Linked DNA regions of Caenorhabditis elegans. The protein of the gene in region 4 purifies or fractionates together with the protein of the main gene of each other region. This does not show direct contact. Each region holds a gene or a part of one and is shown on either strand. Other genes may lie near its edges. The genes, in order: sdz-15, gldi-6, lip-1 and gst-5.

The links.
Region 1: the proteins of gst-5 (region 4) and sdz-15 purify together in Caenorhabditis elegans (affinity purification with mass spectrometry, with the first as the bait; one large-scale study listed by BioGRID). This does not show direct contact.
Region 2: the proteins of gst-5 (region 4) and gldi-6 purify together in Caenorhabditis elegans (affinity purification with mass spectrometry, with the first as the bait; one large-scale study listed by BioGRID). This does not show direct contact.
Region 3: the proteins of gst-5 (region 4) and lip-1 purify together in Caenorhabditis elegans (affinity purification with mass spectrometry, with the first as the bait; one large-scale study listed by BioGRID). This does not show direct contact.

Annotation. Positions count from the first base shown.
Region 1 is NC_003281.10:6,496,829-6,500,615, forward strand, and holds sdz-15 (Skn-1 dependent zygotic transcript 15 protein), read left to right. Parts: upstream 1-1,647; 5' UTR 1,648-1,815; coding exon 1,816-1,916; intron 1,917-2,153; coding exon 2,154-2,984; intron 2,985-3,089; coding exon 3,090-3,195; 3' UTR 3,196-3,282; downstream 3,283-3,787. Other genes in the region: F23F12.13 (Major facilitator superfamily (MFS) profile domain-containing protein), read left to right, coding at 1-46, 98-416, 597-753, 895-996, 1,042-1,349; F23F12.3 (SLC22 family MFS transporter), read left to right, coding at 3,777-3,787. UniProt on the Caenorhabditis elegans protein: May have a role in embryogenesis.
Region 2 is NC_003280.10:3,445,318-3,452,913, forward strand, and holds gldi-6 (Ubiquitin-like domain-containing protein), read left to right. Parts: upstream 1-1,629; 5' UTR 1,630-1,639; coding exon of another isoform or gene 1,640-1,720; intron 1,721-2,299; coding exon of another isoform or gene 2,300-2,555; intron 2,556-2,602; coding exon of another isoform or gene 2,603-2,703; exon of another isoform or gene 2,704-2,851; intron 2,852-2,888; coding exon of another isoform or gene 2,889-3,306; intron 3,307-3,354; coding exon of another isoform or gene 3,355-3,422; intron 3,423-3,912; coding exon of another isoform or gene 3,913-3,993; intron 3,994-4,040; coding exon of another isoform or gene 4,041-4,388; intron 4,389-4,480; coding exon of another isoform or gene 4,481-4,549; intron 4,550-4,864; exon of another isoform or gene 4,865-4,872; coding exon of another isoform or gene 4,873-4,953; intron 4,954-4,999; coding exon of another isoform or gene 5,000-5,540; intron 5,541-5,587; coding exon of another isoform or gene 5,588-5,667; exon of another isoform or gene 5,668-5,741; intron 5,742-6,095; 5' UTR 6,096-6,103; coding exon 6,104-6,184; intron 6,185-6,230; coding exon 6,231-6,575; 3' UTR 6,576-6,887; intron 6,888-6,932; 3' UTR 6,933-7,095; downstream 7,096-7,596. Other genes in the region: C16C8.5 (Ubiquitin-like domain-containing protein), read right to left, coding at 1-47; C16C8.16 (Ubiquitin-like domain-containing protein), read left to right, coding at 453-533, 582-1,224, 1,271-1,350; C16C8.20 (Ubiquitin-like domain-containing protein), read left to right, coding at 1,640-1,720, 2,300-2,555, 2,603-2,703; C16C8.21 (Ubiquitin-like domain-containing protein), read left to right, coding at 2,889-3,306, 3,355-3,422; C16C8.25 (DUF4200 domain-containing protein), read left to right, coding at 3,913-3,993, 4,041-4,388, 4,481-4,549; C16C8.14 (Ubiquitin-like domain-containing protein), read left to right, coding at 4,873-4,953, 5,000-5,540, 5,588-5,667; C16C8.12 (SKA2 domain-containing protein), read left to right, coding at 7,414-7,494, 7,542-7,596.
Region 3 is NC_003282.8:6,840,998-6,846,523, forward strand, and holds lip-1 (Dual specificity protein phosphatase lip-1), read left to right. Parts: upstream 1-1,960; 5' UTR 1,961-1,966; coding exon 1,967-2,031; exon of another isoform or gene 2,032-2,032; intron 2,033-2,078; coding exon 2,079-2,150; intron 2,151-2,226; coding exon 2,227-2,323; intron 2,324-2,417; coding exon 2,418-2,683; intron 2,684-3,070; coding exon 3,071-3,193; exon of another isoform or gene 3,194-3,247; coding exon 3,248-3,378; intron 3,379-3,425; coding exon 3,426-3,543; intron 3,544-3,591; coding exon 3,592-3,718; coding exon of another isoform or gene 3,719-3,829; exon of another isoform or gene 3,830-3,967; intron 3,968-4,008; coding exon 4,009-4,155; 3' UTR 4,156-5,014; downstream 5,015-5,526.
Region 4 is NC_003280.10:10,948,450-10,952,144, forward strand, and holds gst-5 (putative glutathione S-transferase 5), read left to right. Parts: upstream 1-1,902; 5' UTR 1,903-1,963; coding exon 1,964-2,096; intron 2,097-2,623; coding exon 2,624-3,114; 3' UTR 3,115-3,154; downstream 3,155-3,695. Other genes in the region: Putative serine/threonine-protein kinase gskl-1, read left to right, coding at 48-127, 177-284, 445-735; nos-1 (Nanos-type domain-containing protein), read right to left, coding at 3,430-3,529, 3,579-3,695.

The DNA.
Region 1 (3,787 bases), on a different chromosome or scaffold from region 4:
TCCCAATTCTTCCAGTTCTTTTAATCTTACCAGAGTCCCCGAAATGGTGAACCCTCACTTTTCTTAATTAATTATATTTTTTAATCTGAAGTTTTAGGTTTAATACCAAAAAGAGATTTCGAGACGCAAGGGCGGCTGAGAAACGTGTTGCATGGCTATCAGGGATCCCATACGTCAATGACGAAGATCAAAGTATAGAAATATCTGAAAAACTAGAAGAGAAGAGTACGAAGATCTATACAATGAAAGATTTATTCACTTCCTGGACAATTGCATATCGTACAATTGTGGTCGGATCTTTGTGGTTCTCTACAAGTTTATCAGCGTTTGGTTCTGACTTGAATTCTGGGAATTTGGCTGGAAATTTTTATTTGAGTCAGTTTGTGTCCGGTGCGGTGACCGCATTTGCAAAAATTGTGAGTGCATTTTGAAGTTATTAACTAAAATGTAAAGTAATGATCACATTATTTTCCTAGTTGTACGTCTCACTTAAATTTAGAATTGAAGCTGTGTCTCAAATAGACTCAGAAATAGTGAACAATATTTTCGGCCGAACTTTGAATGTTTTATAGCACTTTTGTTAATAATTATTTCAGTTTGTATTCCTATTGGATACCTATGTTCCATCATTTGACCGTCGGCGTCTACACCAATATCCTCAAATTGCCATGATTTTATGTTATTGTGTTATCATGGTTCTGATGATTCTTCCTGAATCAGACTGTGGAAGTCAAGGATCTCGCGATTTGGCTAGTAAGTTTGCCTGCAAATTAAGGTTTCCACTGTGAGCAGGCTCGCCTACATGCCTATTTTATTTTGGGTGCAATTAGAAAAAAGATTGTGGTTACAAACAAGTCCCTTGTTTTTTAGAGTTCTACAAATAATGTATTTTAGTCATCATAATTAACATCATCGGTGTTTCCTTCATTGAGATCACATGGGATGCATGTTATCTTGTAGCAGTGGAATGTTTCCCAACTAAAATTAGAACTATTGGTAAGTTAGTTTTGAATCTTTTAACATCAAATTATCTATTTTCAGGTATCGGTACATGCTCCCTACTTGCCAGAACCGGAGCCTTACTTGCTCCTCAAATGGCTTATCTCTCTGATATCTATCGACCAGCTCCGTACGCAGTTGTTTGCTCAATTGGTACAATTTCCCTCCTGATATCTTGTGTTTTCCTACCAGACACAAAAGGAGTTGATTTGGCAGCACTTGATCCAACTGAAGAACTTGATTACGATAGAAAGAAGAGCATGACGGAGAATATTGTGATTCAGAGAAAAAGAACAGGAACTTTGGCGGCTGCTAGATTATCAATTGTTGAAAATAATATAAATGCATAAAAATAGAACATACTAAACATAACAAATTGTGCACAAAAAGTGCTGTTTTTTTTTATTACGGGACACATGTTGTAAGTATCTGCACCCAGTTTTTTGAACACTTATTTCAAAAGATATTGCAAGAAACAAAATACCAAACAAGAATGCTCGATTACTTGATGCAAGTACACTCTCTGAAAATGCCACTGAAAAATTTAAAATTGGAAATGATGATCAATACAAAATGTCTATATAGTATTTGGAAAGAAAAGGATACTCCAATCGATCAATAACGTAGACACCATCAGCCACGCCTTCTTACACATCGTCTCATTTCTCATAGTCATTACCATATTATCATCAGGAGAGCGTCCGTATTGCCTTCTCCAGGGGAGACTCGAACATTTTCGTTTACAACTATTTTTAGACATTCATTCTTGTATTCTACAGTCTCTGTACCTTGTCATCTTGTGAATATTCTCTCATTATGCTTTCTCCTTCTTCGTCTACCGTCCCAGCCTTTGGTCTCCACAAACTCCCTCACTTGGTCTCGGATAAAGTGGTGAAGTCAATGGTCCCAATGGAACTGTGAGTTTATTTTAATTTTGTTTTTAAATTTGAAAAATTGTATTTTAATTCTTCACATTTTATATTATATTGCATAAACAAGAACTTTAAAAAATCCCCAATAGGGATTTTTTGAATTTGTTGAGTATTTTGGAACATAACTCTCAAAACTTATATAAATATAGATTCAAATTTACAAACATAACTGCACCTTTCTAATCATTTCGATACATTTTCTAAAATTATTTTCATTTTAAGATTTACCTACTCCATGGTAGCCGAAGAAACAAAGGCTCTCGTGAAACGGCTCTTCAAAAAAGTTTCATTTCAAGTGAGCATCTTTGTTCAAGAGCAAGACTATTCAGTGTCTTTTGGACAAATCGGAGGAGCTATATCCAATCTTGGATGTGAAGTTTTGAGCCAAGAAAGTGAGCAAGTTAATGGAACACAAATATGGAAAATGGACGAGAATACTGAAGTACAAATGGAACATTACTACGATGGTCAGATTTGTAGAAGCTATTGGAAGATGAAGAAGGAAACTGAAGCGATCTTAAAAGTTCTAGACTATCTCCGATCAGTGTTCAATGTGAAAGAAGTTTCAGTCAGCTTTTCTATTGATGAGAAATATGATGCTGTGGAGTTCTTGAAGTCGGTTAAAAATCGAGGAGTTCAACTCAAAAATGTGAATATTACTGGCTTTGAAGTAACGTTGGAAGCGGAGGCTTATAAAAATCTCCTTAATGAATGTACAGAAACATCTGAACTCAACGTTGCCCCTCACGTAAACTGGGGATTTGAGTATCCTGTTTCAAACTTTTCCAACTTTTGCCAAAAGTTTTTGACAATTGAGCATGCTCATTGGGTGACTGTTCATCATTTGAAATCTTTGAGAAACTGTGCGTCTGTAACTCTTAACAATTCAAAGTTGACAAATCAGAACTTGAATTGGTTTCTTCGAGAATGGATGGAAATGAGCGGAGCTTCGTTGCGAAACGTGGATTTGGAAGTTAAACAACTCGATTTACCACGGATTATTAATGGATTGAAATGGACAATAAAGGAAGGAATTATCTCGGGATTCGGAGGGTGAGTAATATTTTCAGTGTTTGCTAGGATGAAGAATTTAGTAGATCTAAAAATCGCATCTCTATATTCAAATTTAAAACTTAACTATACAACAAACTATTTCAGATTCCAAAAACTACCACCAGGAGATTGTTTTGAGATTCAACGAATTGACGGAGTCAAAGCGACAATTTCTCGAATCGGAGAACGTTTTCTGATGACCAGAGATTGATTATTAATAATAATAATAATTCCCAATGTGGTTTTCTAATAAATTGCCTAATTGTTCTAATAATATACTGAAATGAAAGTTTTTTTTTTCGAATAAATTGTTTTCTATCTATTTATTGCTATCGGAATCACAAAAAAAAAATTCTCTACACATTCTTTAACCTATTTTGAAAGATAAGCTGAAAGACACATTCTACATTGAAAAATAATCGTCAACCAATCAGCGATTTTTGCCACGCCCCGTGCTCGTTTCTCATTGGTCGCCGGGATATTCAATTGCGCGCGAACTTGAATTTCACCTAGGCAAATGAATATCGTTCTCGACATTTATTTAAAACTTCATTGTTGCGAAAATCGACCGTTGACCTATACTTTTCCGGTTTCATGATTTAATCAGCTAACCCATTTCCGATCTTTCAATTTTTTAATCCCCTCCGTTTAACTTCAGAACTACCTATAGGTCGCGTTTACTGATAAACCTAAAAAGCCTGATAAGCCTAATTCGAGACGAAAATTTGTCATTTGCCTGTGCAAATTGTTTTATCAAAGTGAGTTAGGCAAATACGGTTTGTCCATTTAGGCATGTCGTTTCT
Region 2 (7,596 bases), 7.5 Mb from region 4:
AGTCGAAGTTTCTGCAATTTCGACATCACATTATTCGAGTTGTCCATTTTTCGCGAACAATTCTGAAAATATTATATTTCAAAGCATTTCGCGTTTTTCTGGCATTGAAAATCAGTTTGTAAGCATTAGACTGTAATGAGAAGAGATTTGAAATTAAAAAAAAAAAAAAAAAATTTTTAATATGAGCAATGCGCGTCATTTGCAATGCAAAGTCCGTAAACACTCTGCGTACTTCCTCGTCTACCGTAGTTTCTTCGAAAATTTCGTTCGTGAACATTTTTCCTTTCAGTTTTTCAATTTTGTTCAGTTTTCTTGAGATTTTTGGAGTTTATTTTCCGAATTGTTCTAGAAAATATCTAATTACGCCAGAAAATGTGGTTTTATTCGCAAGCATGCTGTTGTAACCGCTAAAACACCAATATCTCAAAAAATGTTTTTTTTCAGATTCCAAAATGTCGGAGCCGAGCAATTTGGTGTCTAAATTTCAAAAACTTCGCGTTGAAGCTTCCAAGATACAGAATGAGTTTAAAGAGGTTTAGTTTTCGAGCTTACACATTATAAGAACATCAATTTTCTTCCAGAAACCCAGCTATACGCTGTTCAAAGAGACTCTGGACATAAGCGAGAAGCTTTTGGAAAAACAATTCGAATTCAACGATGAGATGAAGCAAATTCAGCAGAACGTGATGTCGGAGTTGAAATCTGTGAAAAAAGAACTGAAACAGGCGACATCAATTAAGGATCTTCTTGAGATTCTCGAAATAATCCAGAAGATTTTTAAAAAACAAGACGAATTTCAGCAAGTCCAGGAAAATCAAAACAAATCGATCGAAAATTTGAATTCGGAATTGAAGACTGTCAAAGCAGAGCTGAATGAGACGAAAAAGCAACAAGAGTCTCAGGAAAAATTGATCGACAATTCGGATAAAAACTTGAAACTGATTTTAGAATCGATATTGAAATTTCAGAAAAGTCAAGATCAGATTATGATGAAGATTATGGAAGGATCAGCTGTGCAAGACGTCCCACTTGGAACTGTAGAATTGACAAAAATTGACCCATTTTTTGAGATTTTGGTTATCTGGACCGAATCGTGTGGCATATTCGCGTCTGAAAACCACTGGAAACTTCGCGTGTGCGGATCGGATACAATTCGACACATCAAACTTCGCATCAATTCACTTGCAAAAGTAGACATCAGCTCGTTCAGAATGGTGCTTCGTGGTTGGTTGGTTTCAAAGTAGATTTAAAAATAAAATTCGAATTTCAGGAAAACTTCTCGAAGACCACCACTCTCTCGCCTACTACAACATTCAAGAAGGCGCATTAATTTGGCTATACTCTCGTTGAATCATAATTATTCTAATTTTCATTCACTTTTTTCAAGATATTGTTATTTTGCGAATAAATAATTGTTAACTAAAATTGTTCGCTTTTCACAGATTTTTTTTAAAAATGATTCTGCAATCATTTGGATATTTGATTTACTCAAAAATAAAAGCAACTTTCTTGGTTTTCGGTTCTTGTTCAGTTTTTAGAGAGTTTTTTCTCGAATTTACCTGGGAAATTAGAAAAGTTAACTAGGAACTTCTTTGCATTTCAAAAATTATCAAAAAGCTTTTTTTTTTCAGATTTAAAAATGTCGGAGACAAGCAGTTTGATGTCTCAATTCCAAAAACTTCGCGTTGAAACTTCCAAGATATACAATGAATTCACAGAGGTGAGAATAATAATAATAATTTATTACGCTCGCTGGGAGACGTGAAGGAATACAGAATACAAAAGTTATCATTGTTCGCTTGAACTAGAATTGGTGCAGTCGGGCAGTTGTTTCCATTCCATTAGAATGTTGTCCTTGTCCTTGCTTGTCCTTGCGCAGACTCCCCCATAGTGGGCGAACGATTCCCGAGTGAAAAAAAAGATTTTGAAAAAACACGATTGTCAAAAAACCCAGAAAAATCAAAACAGGGTGATCGAAAATTTGATATTGGATTTGGAGATGGTCAAAAATGAGACTAGTGATATGAAAAAGCAACAAGAGACTCAGATTTTGAAGGAACAAGACGAATTTCAAGATGAGATTAGGCAAGAATTTCTGAAAATCCAGGAAAATGAAAACAAATTGATCGAAAAGTTGATGTCGGAATTGAAAACTCTCAAAACAGAGCTGAATGAGACTAAAAATCAAATAAGTGACCTGCATAATGCAACAAAGCAACAGGAGTCTCAGGCACAATCGATGAATGATCTTCTAACCAAGAATTCGAATAATAATCTGAAAATGATGCTGAAAATTCAGGAAGGTCAAGATCGGATTATGATGAAGATTCAAGAAGGAGCTGCTGTGAAAGACGTCCCAATTGAATCTGGAGAATTGGCAAAGAATGACTCAATGTTTAAGATTTTTGTTTCCTGGTCCATTCCGGGTGGCATATTCGTGTCTGAAAACCGCAGGAAACTACCAGTGTACGAATCGAACACAATTCGACAAATCAAACTGCGCATCAATTCACTTGTAGGAATAGACATCGGCTCGTTCAGCTCGTACTGTGATGGTCGGTTGTTTTCGAAATTGCTTTTTAAAATAAAATTTGCATCTCAGATAAAATTCTCGAAGACGACCACACTCTCGCTCACTACAACATTTCGTACAACAATTCGCGTATTCTCATAATTCTCCATTTTTGCTCATTTTCAACTTGAATTTCACCGTTAATGACAATTAATGAATCTTTTTTTGTTTCAGAATCCTCAAGTTCATGGAATTCTCCAGCTCATAATTTTTTATCGATTTTTTTAAATTATTGCCGATACTAAAGTTCCCGGCAGTTTGCGAATAAATAATTGTGAAAATCCAAGAAAATCAAAACAAATTGTTCGAAAATTTGATGTCGGAATTGAAAACTGTCAAAACAGAGCTGATTGAGACGAAAAATCAAATAAATGGTCTTCCTACCAAGATTTCGGATAACAATCTGGAAATGATACTGAAAATTCAGAAAAGTCAAGATCAGATGAAGATTCAGGAAGGAGAATTTGCGAAGAAGATCGAAGAATCAGTTGCACCTGTGAAAACACCGCTGGAAGCCCCAATTGAAGATAAAAAATTGGATAATAAAAAACCATTTTTCAAGATTACTGTACATTTGCATGGAGGTCCTAATGCATCCGTATATGGAAGAAAGTACAATCATCTCGTGTTCGATGCGCATACGATTCGTGATCTTAAAGTGCGGATCAAGGCACTTATTATGCAGTCCAGTCCAATAAAACTGAGAACCGAATTGTACAGATTGTTCTTTGTTTGTTAGTTTAAATCCCCCTTTCTTCATAATTTTTTAATTATACTTTCAGATACACTTCTCGAAGACCACCAAACTATCGCTTATTACAAATTCAAGAAGGCTCAACACTTGACCTGATTCCGCTATAATTTTTTGAATTTTATCGATTTTTTCTTGTGAATAATTTATAGCTCCCTCACTTTATTTGCCGATTGAAAAAATTAAAACATATTTTTCGATTTTCACATATTTAATTATTTAAAATTATTTTTGCAATCATTTGGATATTTCCTTGATCAAAATTCAAAACTGCAAAAAAACTTTTTTAAAAAAATTTTTGCGCGTAATTTTAAGTGCAAAGTCTGCAAACACGTTGCGTACTCCGCCACCTACCGTAGTTTCCAATGAAAATTTGCCTGAACATCTTTTCCGGTTTTCTTGGTTCTTGTTCAGTTTTTTTTTTTGAAAAGTTCCAATGATTTTTCGAGTTTCTTTTCCGTATTTTCCCTTAAAAATATCGAAATTAACTAAAAAATGTGGTTTTATTTGCAAAAATTGTCTAGAATCAGCTTTGTTAAGCGGTTTAACACGAAAACCTTTCAAAATGTTTTTTTTTTCAGATTTCAAAATGTCGGGGCCAAGCGATTTGATGTCTGAATTTCGAAAACTTCGCGTTGAAGCTTCCAAGATTCAGAATGAGTTCAAAGAGGTTTAGTTTTCGAACTCACAAATAATTAAAAATCAGTTTTCTTCCAGATACCCAGCTCTGCGGATCATAAGCTGATCAAAGAGACTCTGGAAATGAGCCAAAAAATTTTGAAAAAACAAGACCAATTTCAAGATGAGATGAAGCAAGAATTTTTCAAACATAACTACAAAATCAAGCAAGAATTTCAAAAAATCCAGGAAAAGCAGAACAAATTGATCGAAAATTTGATGTCGGAATTGAAGACTGTCAAAGCCGAGCTGAATGTGACGAAAAATCAAATAAATGGTCTTCTTGCCAAGAATTCGGATGAAAATTTGGAACTGATTCTAGAATCGATATGGATAATTCATAAACGTCAGGATCAGATGATGATGATGAATCAGCAAGGAGAAACTGTACATTTTTAATTTGGCTGCTAAGCTCATTTATCTTCGTTTTTTCTCGTTTTTTCTCATTTTTATCGATAAAAATATATTTTTTGTTGCAGAATATCACAAAACCGCAACGGAAACGCGTCCAACAGCACAAAACGGTGCCGAATTCAACAAAAAAGTAGGTTTTTTCCCATTTTCTCAAAAAAATCCCTATTTTATGTAATTTGCAAAAAAACACATTTTTTGCGCGTAATTTGAAGCGCAAAGTCCGCAAACACGTTGCGTACTCCGCCACCTACCGTAGTTCCCTTGAAAATTTGTTTTTGGTTCTTGTTCAGTTTTTTGAAAATTTTCCAATGCTTTTTCAAGTGTCTTTCCAGAATTTTTATTTAAAAATATAGAAATTAACTAAAAATGCGGTTTTATTTTCAAAAATTACACCGAATGAGCTCTTAAACCTCAAACACGAAAACTTTATTAAAATGGCTTTTTTTCAGATTTAAAAATGTCGGACCCAAGAGATTTGATGTCTGAATTTCAAAAACTACGCGTTGAAACTTCCAAAATACAAAATGAATTCAAAGAGGTGAGAATATCAGAATTAAAACTTTAAAAAATCAAATTGTTTCCAGAAACCAGGCTACGTGGAAGATAAACTGCACAAGAACACTCAGGAAATTTGCCAACAGATTTTAAAGAAACAAGGCAAATCTCAAAAATCCCAGGAAAATCAAAACGCGTTTATCGAAAATTTGATGTCGGAATTGAAGACTGCCAAATCAAAGCTAAATGAGACCGAAAATCAAATAAGTGACCTGCATGAAGCAACGAAGCAACAGGAGTCTCAGGCAAATTTGTGGAATGATCTTGTTGCCAAGATTTCGGATAAAAATCTGGAAATGATGCTGAAAATTCAAAAAAGTCAGGATCTGATGATTATGAAGATGCAGGAAGGATCAGCTGTGCAAGACGTCCCAATTGAAACTGAAAAATCGGCAAAGAATGGCCCATTTTTTGAGATTTTGGTCATCTGGACCGACTCGCGTGGCCCAGTAGTTCCTGGGAACCATGGGAAGCTTCGGGTGTGCGGATCGGATACAATTCGACAGATAAAACCGCGCATCAATTCACTTGCAGGAATAGATACCATCTCGTTCAGAACGTTCTGTGATGGTCGGTTTTTCTCGAAGTAGCTTTTTAAAATAAAATTTACATTTCAGATAAATTTCTCGAAGACGACCACACTCTCGCCCACTACAACATTCGAGAAGGCTCAACAATTTGCGTATTCTTTCATTAAATCATAATGTTTTATCGACTTTTGTTCAAGATGTTGTCTAAAGTTCCCCATTTCTTAAAATAAATACGAACAACGTATCATCGTTTTTTAAAATTTATTTTTAATAGTTATTTTCAGTCATTCAAATATTTTATTCGATCAAAAACTCCCTATTTTAATTTGCAACAAAAAAAAACAATTTTTTATGCGCGTATTTTCAGGTGCAGAGTCTGCGAACACGTTGCGGACTCTGCCACCTACCGTAGTCCCCTTGAAAATTTGTCCGAACATTTTTCCCAGTGTTGTTTGTTTTTGATAAGTTTTTTGAGAATTTCCAATTATTTTTCGGGTGTCTTTTCCAAATTTTTATGTAAAAATAACGAAATTAATTAAAAAAGTGTGGTTTTATTTGCAAAAATTACAACGATGCCTTAATAATTTTTTTTCAGATTTCAAAATGTCGGAGCCAAGCAGTTTGATGACTGAATTTCAAAAACTTCGCGTTGAAACTTCCAAGATACAAAATGAGTTCAGAGAGGTGAGATTTTCATATTTAAAGTTGAAAAAAATCAAATTGTTTCCAGAAACCAGGCTACGTGGAAGATAAACTGCACAAGAACACCCTGGAAATGTGCCAGAAAATTTTAAAGAAACAACACGGATTTCAAAAAACCCAGGAAAATCAAAACAAATTCATTGAACATTTGATATTGGATTTGGAGTCTGTCAAAAAAGAAACTAGTGATATGAAAAAGCAACAAGAGACTCAGATTTTGAAGAGACAAGACGAATATCACGACGAGATGAAGCAAGAATTTCAAAAAATCCAGGCAACTCAAAATAAATTGATCGAAGATTTGATGTCGGAATTGAAGACTGTCAAAAATGAGACTAATGATATGAAAAGGAATCTCAGGAGAAATCGATGAATGATCTTCTTATCAGGAATTCGGATAAAAATCTGGAAATGATGTTGAAAATTCAGGAAGGTCAAAATCAAATGATGATGAAGATTATGCAAAGATCAGCTGTGCATGACGTCCCAATTGAAACTGGAGAATTGGCAAAGAATGTCTCATTTTTTTATATTTTTGTTTACTGGTCCGATTCGCATGGCACATTAGCGTCTGGAAACTATCGAAATCTTTGGGTGCGCGGATCGGACACAATTCGACAAGTCAAACTGACCATCAATTCACTTGCAAACGTAGATATCAGCTCGTTCAGAATGGTGCTTCGTGGTTGCTTGGTTGCAAAATAGCTGTAAAATGAAATTTGCATTTCAGATAAAGTTCTCGAAGACGACCACACTCTCGCCTACTACAACATTCAAGAAGGCTCAACACTCGGTCTTTTCTCCCCTTAAATTCTAATTTTTATCGACTTTTTCTCTAAAAGAATGTATAAAGTTCCCATCTGCCATTATGTAAATAAATAATTTTTGACAACAATTTTTTGGATGTTTTTATCGCAAACAACGTTTTCAACAATCATTCGGATATTTGATTTGTTCAAAACAAAAAATGCAAAAAAAAAACAATTTTTTATGCGCGTATTTTCAGGTGCATAGTCCGCAAACACGTTACGTACTCCGCCACCTACCGTAATTCCCTGTGAAAAATTATCTGAAAATTTTTCTTGTTTTTTGGTTCTTGTCGAGTTTTTTGAGAATTTCCAATTATTTTGCGAGTTTTTTTTCGAATTTACTTGAAAAATTATGGAAATTAACGAAAATTATCAAAAAATGTGTGTTTTCTAGATTAAAAAATGTCAGAGCCAAACAATTTGATGTCCGAATTCCAAAAGCTCTGCGCTGAAACTTCGAGAATACAGAATGAGTTCAGAGAGGTTTAATTAACTAACTAACAATTTTAAAAATCAATTTATTTTTCCAGATACCCAGCTCTGCGGGGAATGCACTGCTCAAGGACACTCAGGAGATGTGCCAGA
Region 3 (5,526 bases), on a different chromosome or scaffold from region 4:
AATTTATTTGTCATTCTGATTTCTGCAAAAAACACAAAAGTGGGGGAGGCCACTCCATTTTGGAGCTAATAATAGTGTGCTCCAAAAAAAACTTTTTCATCTATCTACGTCAAAACTTTTCGGCCGTCGTCCTATTTTTAGGCTCGTCGTTTCCTCTCCATTTTTTCCTTTTTTCGGCGGCGTCACAACGAATTAATGAATTTATTGGAGCGAAAACGTTGCTCCGACGGGGCGGAGAAGGGCACACTAGAATTTATGAATGGTGTGCTCTTCGAATAGAAAAAGAGCACCTGGAGGCAGCAATTGCTTCAGATTTTTTAAAATCTAGTTTCACACGTATAATCTTACGATCCTCTTCGATGTGCAATGTAAGCGACCGACATTTTATGGGGGTTTTCGAAATTTCAAAAACAACCCGTGAAACGTCGGATGCATTATATTTCCTGATTCTATGCAATAAACAGTTTATAGATCAAAAATCAGATCCCAATATTGCTAGAATCTCCCAAATGAAAATGAACTTGACCGTGGGAAAATTTTTAAAATATCTAGCCAAGGATTTGTAGACAAATCGTGCGAAAATCGGTCCAAAAAAACTCACATTCTTCGAGTGTTCTCTTCTCGAGATCCACCTCCGCGCCTATGATTTCTTCCTTCCATTCTTTTTTCTCTATTTCTCCAACCAAAAATAGTAAGGAAAAAATAGTGAAAAAATGAAGGTCACTTCCTTTTTTCTGTCTCTCTCTTTCCCATATCAATCACCTGATTTGCGATCATCGCCATGTCTTTTCTCGCCCTGTTATTTTGCTGCTAAGTTTGTTTTTTTTTTCAGTTTTTGTTGTTCTCCTACACCGCTTTCCGGTGTTTTCCCATTGGTTAGTGATTAATGATTACAAGTTGGAAATGCCAACATTTTGATCTGTTCCTATTGGTTTTAGAATTCTCGAGGTTTAAGGTTTTCATTTGAAATGGAAAGTATTCTTTAACTTAAGATCATACATTTTTTCCAGTATTCAACTCGTAGAGTATATAATCTAGTTTTACATATTCCCACATTTCCATAGTTTCACCATTATCTCCGACGGAAGCTGTACATGTTTTCCTAAGATTTTATTATAAAACTGATTATCATGAAAACTTATCATTACTGATAAGAGACGCATATTTCTCGTGGGCGCCAGCGCCCACGGATACCTAGGAACTCAAAAGTGAAATATTTCTTTTTGATATGAGCGCATGATGACGAGCCAAGGATTATCCCTCTCTCACAGCTTCTTTTCTTCGTCCCGTAGATCTGTTTGAGCCATTCTTAGCGAGGATTGTCGATTTAGCAGTCGACGCGCATGAATTTTGCTCAAAAACACTGATATTTATTGAGAATTTTCATGCTCCATTTTCAAAAAAAAAAGTCTCTGAGATATTTGCAGGTATTTTATTCGGATAATTTTTATTTTGTACTGGTGTGTCTTGTTGAAGGATGCCGCAGCACATTCAACTATCTAAAAAAACAGGCGAATTTTAATTTTATTAAATTTCAGTTCTTCAATTAAATAGTTTTGATTGAATTATGAATATTTTTATATATCTAGATTTGAAAATAAATTTCAAACCCATAAAAATTAAATATTCACATGTCGTTGCGCCATGCGCCTTTAAAAAATGACAGTACTTCCATAATTTCAAACGCGGGAAAAAATTAATTTGATTTTCTATTTTTTCGCTCATCACATCGATTTCCCAAATTTTCTCGAATTTTTTTTCTCAGAAGAGTTTTTGATTTTTTCTAAATTATCCCGCTGACGCTGCCCACTCACAGAATATTTTATTATCGATGAAATGACTCCTACGTATTTTCGTGTCTCCCCGCTGTTTCACCAGTGTTCTATTATTTCCAAATTTGATTTTTAAATTTTAACTTCACAATTTTTTTGCTATCAGATAAAATTTTTTTTAAAAATATTTTCAGATGACAACTCACCTACCGAGCACATCTCAAAATGGCGAAGAGATATCTGCTGAGCAATTCAACAGGTGATTTATTTAATTTAATAACAATTTAATCAATTTTTTATTTTCAGGATATTTCACGAACGCAACGTCATCGTTCTGGATTGTCGATCAAATGGTGATTCAGTGAAACGAGCCAATCGGTTAGTATTTTAAATTTATTTTTCTCGTAATCAAAAAATCTAAAAACCTTCTAAATAATAAACAATCTCGGTGTAGATTCTTTTGCAGTCTTCGATTACCGGCTCTCCTTCAACGCCGTTTAATGGGCGGTTCAATGCGACTTTCAACAGTACCTGATCTGAAGGATCTGAATGTGAGTTTATTATTATTATTTTTACACATTTATTTCAATAAAAACGGACAGAAAACATTAAAATTGTTCGAAAAATACTGAAAATCATTTTCAGAATTCTCCTGATCAATGTCCCGAAGTTCTTCTCATCCCCGGCGACAGTGAACAAGACGAGCAGCTCTCGGCAGCTTTAGCTCGAAATCTGAAATCCAACCACTATCGTCATTTTGTGCTCGGCGAGCCTGTCAAGACACTTCTCTCCCAGTTTCCGACCCTTCGTGATGCAGCCGACGAAAATTGGAACACCACGTTTCAAATGAACTCGATGCCGGGTCAAGCAAGTGGGCAACAAGCATCAAGTGGACCGCTTCTTAACTTAAAGTTAGTTTTTTTAATTAAAAACTTATTAAGTTATTTCTAATTTTTTTAAATTATAAAAATTAAAGATTCGATCCGTGAATTTTGATTGTGAAGAAATTTCATGTTTTCACAGCCAAATTAGCATGAAATATCTTTTCAATCTTATACGAATTAATTTTCATTCGAAAAAGGAAATAAATCAAGCAATATCGAAACTTTATTGAAAAAATAAACGAAAAAGCAGTGGAAATCGGCCCGACTCTATTTCTGTACGACGCTGCTTTTTTTCAAAATTTCCCAGATCGATCCTTTAATTTTAACAGTATAACCAGGTTTGAAGCTCCAAAAATGCATGTATTGTTAATTGAAAAAAATTCCAGAAAACAGTAGATAATTTTTATTTTCCAGCCAACTCCGATTGGAAGGTGAAGATCAAGGCGGAAAACAACGTGCAGAGTTTCCTGTAAAGTTAACCAATTTCTTGTATCTTGGAAACGCGGAGACCGCTAAAAATCGAGATGTTCTTAAAAAGTGACACTATTATTCGATATTATATATATTCTTAACAAAAAACCCAATTTTCAGATATTCTATCTCACATGTAATAAATGTCACATCAAATTTGCCAAACACGTTCGAAGAAGACCCAAATATGCGATATTTAAGAATATCGGCCGATGATAACGCTTCACATAATCTAACAAAATTCTTCCCTGGTTTGTAATTGATTTTTCTGAGTTTTCTTAAAAATATTCCTTTTCAGAAGCCATATCCTTCATTGATGATGCGCGACGCAACGATTCAGCATGTCTTGTGCATTGTCTGGCTGGAATTTCCAGAAGCGTTACAATATGTCTGGCGTATCTCATGAAGACTGAAATGTAATTTGATTTAGATTTTATAGATTAAAAAAAATTGATATTTTTCAGGTGTACTCTTGATTCTGCCTACGAATGGGTTCAAAAGAGAAATGCAAGCATTGCTCCAAATTTTCATTTTATGGGACAACTCACAGACTACGAGAAGATGTTGGGATTGAATAGCAATCGAGTCGGGGTTAGTAGGCAAGCTGTAAATTTTGATGTTCACTTTTTCTGCATTTTTAAATTAAAGAAAAAAGAGGAGAACTCCCCAGAATCAAGAATTTTAGCCGAAACTGCAGTTTAAACTGTAAAATCGTGCAGAAAAATACATACTGTGTTGTTCACGTGTAGTACACCGTAAATCGACACAGGTTGCTGCCTTTGTGGTTCAAATCCTACCCGTTGATTGCTTATCCGTTAGAATATTTTAATAAATCGTCCTTCTTCTACAAATGTTCTTTTAGTGATTTTTTCGTATTTCAGACATATCCTTCCTCGGCTCCTCGTTCTCCATCTTGTGCCATCGAAGCAGCAGCAGTATCACAAGTTGGAGGCCTTCTAACTCCACCACCAACAAGCTGTTCGGCGTCACCTCAATCGAGTAATCACTCGGCAAAGTCATTTCACTAGAAGAATTCACCCCTTCTTATAATTTTTCATCATATTTTTTCATCCATTTTTATCGTCCTCATGCAGCTAGATGTACAAATAATACAACTCTACTACCTGTTATGTTTCCTAGTTGTCATACCATTGTGATATTCTTTCTTTTTGGTAGATCCACTTCCTGTCCCATGACTGTCCTTTTTTATGTCTCGACGTTCTTTTCTCTTGTGAAATGACCCTACCATGATGCCTGTTTTACCAAATCAATAATTTTAAACCACCACCACCACAACGACACGTGTCTCTTTCCCTTTTCATTACCGTATAGTTCATTTCCCCCACTACGACACTTTCCATACAATCTCTGTACCTTATTTTTCTCTCATTTGTCAGACTTTCAAAATTGAGTTTTCTCTTTTTCCCATCATCTCCCCTAAAACCACTTTCCCGAGAAAATCCGCAACATTGTTATTGCCATGACCTTACTTTTCCCTCCCAATTCTCAATCAGCACCACCATTTCCTGCTATCACACTTTCTCCCCATTCACTGATTTCAGCCTCGTCTAATTCACCTAAATTTTCATAATTGTTCTCGATTTTATCTTTTTCTTCTCTCATTCAAATCACCGACTCTGAACTTTTTAGTGAACGCCGAGTCTTTGATTCCCCCCCCCCCCCCCCCAATTTAGTTGAAACATCTATATATACGCATACAAAAATGAAAAAATTCCTACAAAATCATATTTAGTTTTGTATGGTCAATGATTTCATCTTCCATTGTCGTCGCCGCGTGAAATTTGGAGTTTGTTATGACAATTGCTTCAGAAGTTTGTCCAAAATTGTTCAAAAATAAAATTGAAACAGCTGAAGCTTAAAATTATGTAGGCTCTGAAACGAATTTCTTAATTTTTAAAATTTTTGATTATTCCAAGAAATCGACTTTTAAACTTCATACATTCATCATAGATTATGTAAATTTGAACAGTACAAGAATTAAACGGCGATAGAAAAAAAGAAACATAATCGCCAACAGATGTGAACAATTGAGAAACCTGTGGAAACACGGAAACAGACAAAAAAAAAAGATTTTTGGACATCTGGGAGTACAGGAAACATATGGTTTTGAGAAGGTTAGAATTATTTGAAAATGCTCTGAAAGGAGATGAGATCAAATTGAAATGGGAGATGCATGGAAGAATATTATATTATGAATAAGAATCGATTATGAATTGACAATGAGATTTTCGATGTAATCCTTAATAAAACACGCATTCCACAATTCGAAATGGGATCAAATGGGTTAGTGTGAAATAATTAGATAGATGTCACGAAACAGTAAAAACTATGACATTGGTCGAATTTGTGAAATATCATATCAAAATGGTGCTTAGATC
Region 4 (3,695 bases):
AAATTAAAAATTGTGTTTCAAAAATTATTTAAATGTATATTTCTCAGATATTTGGTCAGCAACTTGTGTGGCGTTTGAACTTTTCGCTAATCGAGTTCTTTTTAAAGGAAAGGACACTAAAGATCAGGTAGTTACAGTCAAAAACTGGAAAACATGGTAATTTAGCTAATTTCCAGATTGTGTTGATAACTGGAGTTTTCGGATATCCTACAGACGATGATATTAAAAGCATTGGAGTAAAAAGGCCTAGAGTTGCAAGAAAAGATGCGAGAGGAATAGAAACGGTAAAAATTAAAGAAAAAACCAATAAAACTAAAAAAGAAGCGAAACAAAGCACACTTGTCCACGAGAAGTACACACGCGCGCGCGCAATGTCGCGCTCCACTGAAAACAAATTGGCGCCAGTTTCAAATTATTTTAAATTCAAATAAAATTTAATTTCAGTTCACCAGCAAGATGCTCGACTCGGAAATCTACGATTTCATGAAAGCAACACTGAAAATCGATCCGAAAAAGAGAAAATCCGCGATTGACGTGCTGAAAATGCCCCTTTTCGATATTCTACGATCGAGTCCACCGAAGAAGCGATCAAACGGAGTTGAGATGCCAAATCTCGCGAGTTATACGGAAATGCATCACAAAAGGGAGCCGGAAACGGAAGTGGTGGCAGATATTCAGACAACTGAAAAGGCTGAAAAGGAGTCGGATTCGACGAATGAAGAATTGGAGGATTAGAGAACTTTTCGAGAAGTCTACCGTTGTAGTTTTCGAAATAGTAATTTATTTAGTGACGTTTATAAAGGTTTACATGATTTGGTTTGGAAATTTTTTAGGAGTTTATTCATAAAAACAAAGTAACCATGGACATTCCAGAAGTCTATAGTACACGCGATCCTACCGTACCCTTCAGTATTTCTATCAGATTGATAGCTTTCGGTAGTCAGGTACAGCCTAAAAAATTCCTGCTTGCCTTTTTGCCTACATGTCTGCCTACCTTCAGTCATAATGCCTACATAATGATTTTTTCCAATTGAAACTTGCAGACAGAAATTCAAATGGCAAAAAGAAACAAACACCGAAACATTAATCACATTTCTTTTCATATCAGTTTTCCTGTCAAAGCACATTTCTGGAGTCTGTGTGTATTTTTTTGTGTCTTTATGTGATCGGTGTTGTGAAATTTGTAGTTGATGTTGATAACATACTTTTTTTTGAAACAAAAAGTGATTGATTAGGCTTGAATTCAGAGATATGTTCGTGATACTTTGCGATTCTCGAGCCAAAAACACGGTATCCGGTCTCGACACGACAACTTTTTCGCAAAATACAAGCTGATGTGCGCCTTGAAAGAGTACTGTAATTTCAACCTTTCGTTGTTGCGGAATTTTCATAGTTTCTCGTTCAAAATATATGTATTTATTAAACAAAAAACTAAAACAAAACAATTGAGAACACATAAATTGTGAAAAATCAATGAGACCACAGCAAAAAATTTTGTATCTACAGTACTCTTTAAAGGCGCACATCCGTTCTTATTTTCAGCAAAAATGTCGCTTCGAGACCGGGTACCGTATTTTTTTTTGTGCAAAACTTTAGGTCTAGGTAATATTAAAAAAAAATTCCACAAAACTAGAATCTAGAGCTTTCCATTAAATTTTTTGATGACATTTGAAAATTCATGATGATTTTTTTCCAACAATTTCGAAATATCCCTCTTTTCACCTGGTCCACTGAATTCTCTTTCCGAAAGACCACCACAATTTCAGGGCTCCGCCCATTTCGTGGTTTGTAGCCTTCCCGACCCTACGTTTTTGATGACAATTGTGAGAGAAGTGAGAGGTTCAGACACAAAAAGCGACGTGGTCGAATGAGTATAAATAGAGAGTGAAGTTTCCAATTTCCCTCACAATTGTTTGTTTGCAATCCACTTTCCAAAAAAACACAACTTCAATCAAAAATCATTATGGTTTCCTACAAGTTGACCTACTTCAATGGACGTGGCGCTGGAGAAGTGTCTCGTCAGATTTTCGCCTATGCCGGACAACAATACGAGGATAATAGAGTCACTCAGGAACAATGGCCAGCATTGAAAGAAAGTGAGTTTGGAATTATTATTACTCAATTGTGAAGGCGCCTGGGTCTCGAAACGACTTAAAATTCGCAGTTACCGTAACCAAATTTTTTTTTGCGATTTTCTATGATTTTTTTCCTGATTTTTTTCTACAAAAAATCATATTTTTTGGGTTAGTATTAAAAAATTAAGTGAATTGCAGTTTTGGGTACGGTACCAGTGAAATTTCGGTCGTGCCGAGACCTATAGTTACCGTATTTCAGCGCCGGAAATCTCAAAATCCTGCAATTAGGGAATATCTACAGTTTTGTGGAACAAAAACATGAAAAGCGAAAAAAATCACTTCTCGTGGTCTCGACACGATTTCTACATTTTTGACCAATTAAAGAATTCACTTCTTTTGAAAAACTATACTTTTTCCATAATTTTCTCAAACATAAGCTAAATTTTTTGTAAAATAACTTTGTAAAATAGCTTAAAATCTTTTCCTTTTTTTAATCCAAGAGAATTATTTTTTGAATAAAAAATATTTTAAAAAACTATTTTTTCCAGCCTGCGCTGCTCCATTCGGACAACTTCCATTCCTCGAAGTCGACGGTAAGAAGCTTGCTCAATCCCACGCGATTGCTCGTTTCTTGGCTCGTGAGTTCAAGCTCAACGGAAAAACCGCCTGGGAAGAGGCTCAAGTGAACTCTCTTGCCGATCAATACAAGGATTATTCAAGTGAGGCTCGTCCATATTTCTACGCTGTCATGGGATTCGGTCCAGGAGACGTTGAAACTTTGAAGAAAGACATCTTCCTTCCAGCATTTGAAAAGTTCTACGGATTCTTGGTCAACTTCTTGAAGGCTTCGGGATCCGGATTCCTTGTCGGAGACTCTTTGACCTGGATTGACTTGGCTATTGCCCAACATTCAGCTGATTTGATTGCCAAGGGAGGTGATTTCAGCAAGTTCCCAGAGCTCAAGGCTCATGCCGAGAAGATCCAGGCGATTCCACAAATCAAGAAATGGATCGAGACCCGTCCAGTCACACCATTCTAAATAGCTGTATAAAATCTGCAAATAAATATTTTTTTTTTTTAAATTCAGTTTATCAACATGTCAACAGTGTTCGCTAAGCGATAATACAACTGGAGAATTGGAGAACAGAAAACAGAGAACAAAAAATGAAGAAAATCAACAAAAAGAAAATTAAACAATTTCGAGATCAATATGCGAGGAGGTGCGAATAAATGTGAATTTTCGGGGGGCAGGATAAAACATGGTGGGATATGTAAATAGATTATGTGAATATAATGTGGATGCATAAAAATATAACACGAACATCTTTCGAAAAATATATATTATATATACATATTAGTCGTCTCCAAACGCCTCCAGGTGATGCTTCGTTGTGTGTGCGTTATCGCCAGTGGCTCCACAGATTCCACAGACCATTGAGCGAAGTTTTGGGCATCTGAAAAATGATAATATCTGTTGAAGGTCGGAAATTTCAACAAACTTACACAACTCTTCCCCTTTTCTTCGAGCAGTGATCGGACCATGGTCCACGATCATCTTTCCGTGGAGCTGGCAAAGTGTGAAGTCTCGCAAATTCGGAAGCGGTTCCGAAGCAGAAGCAG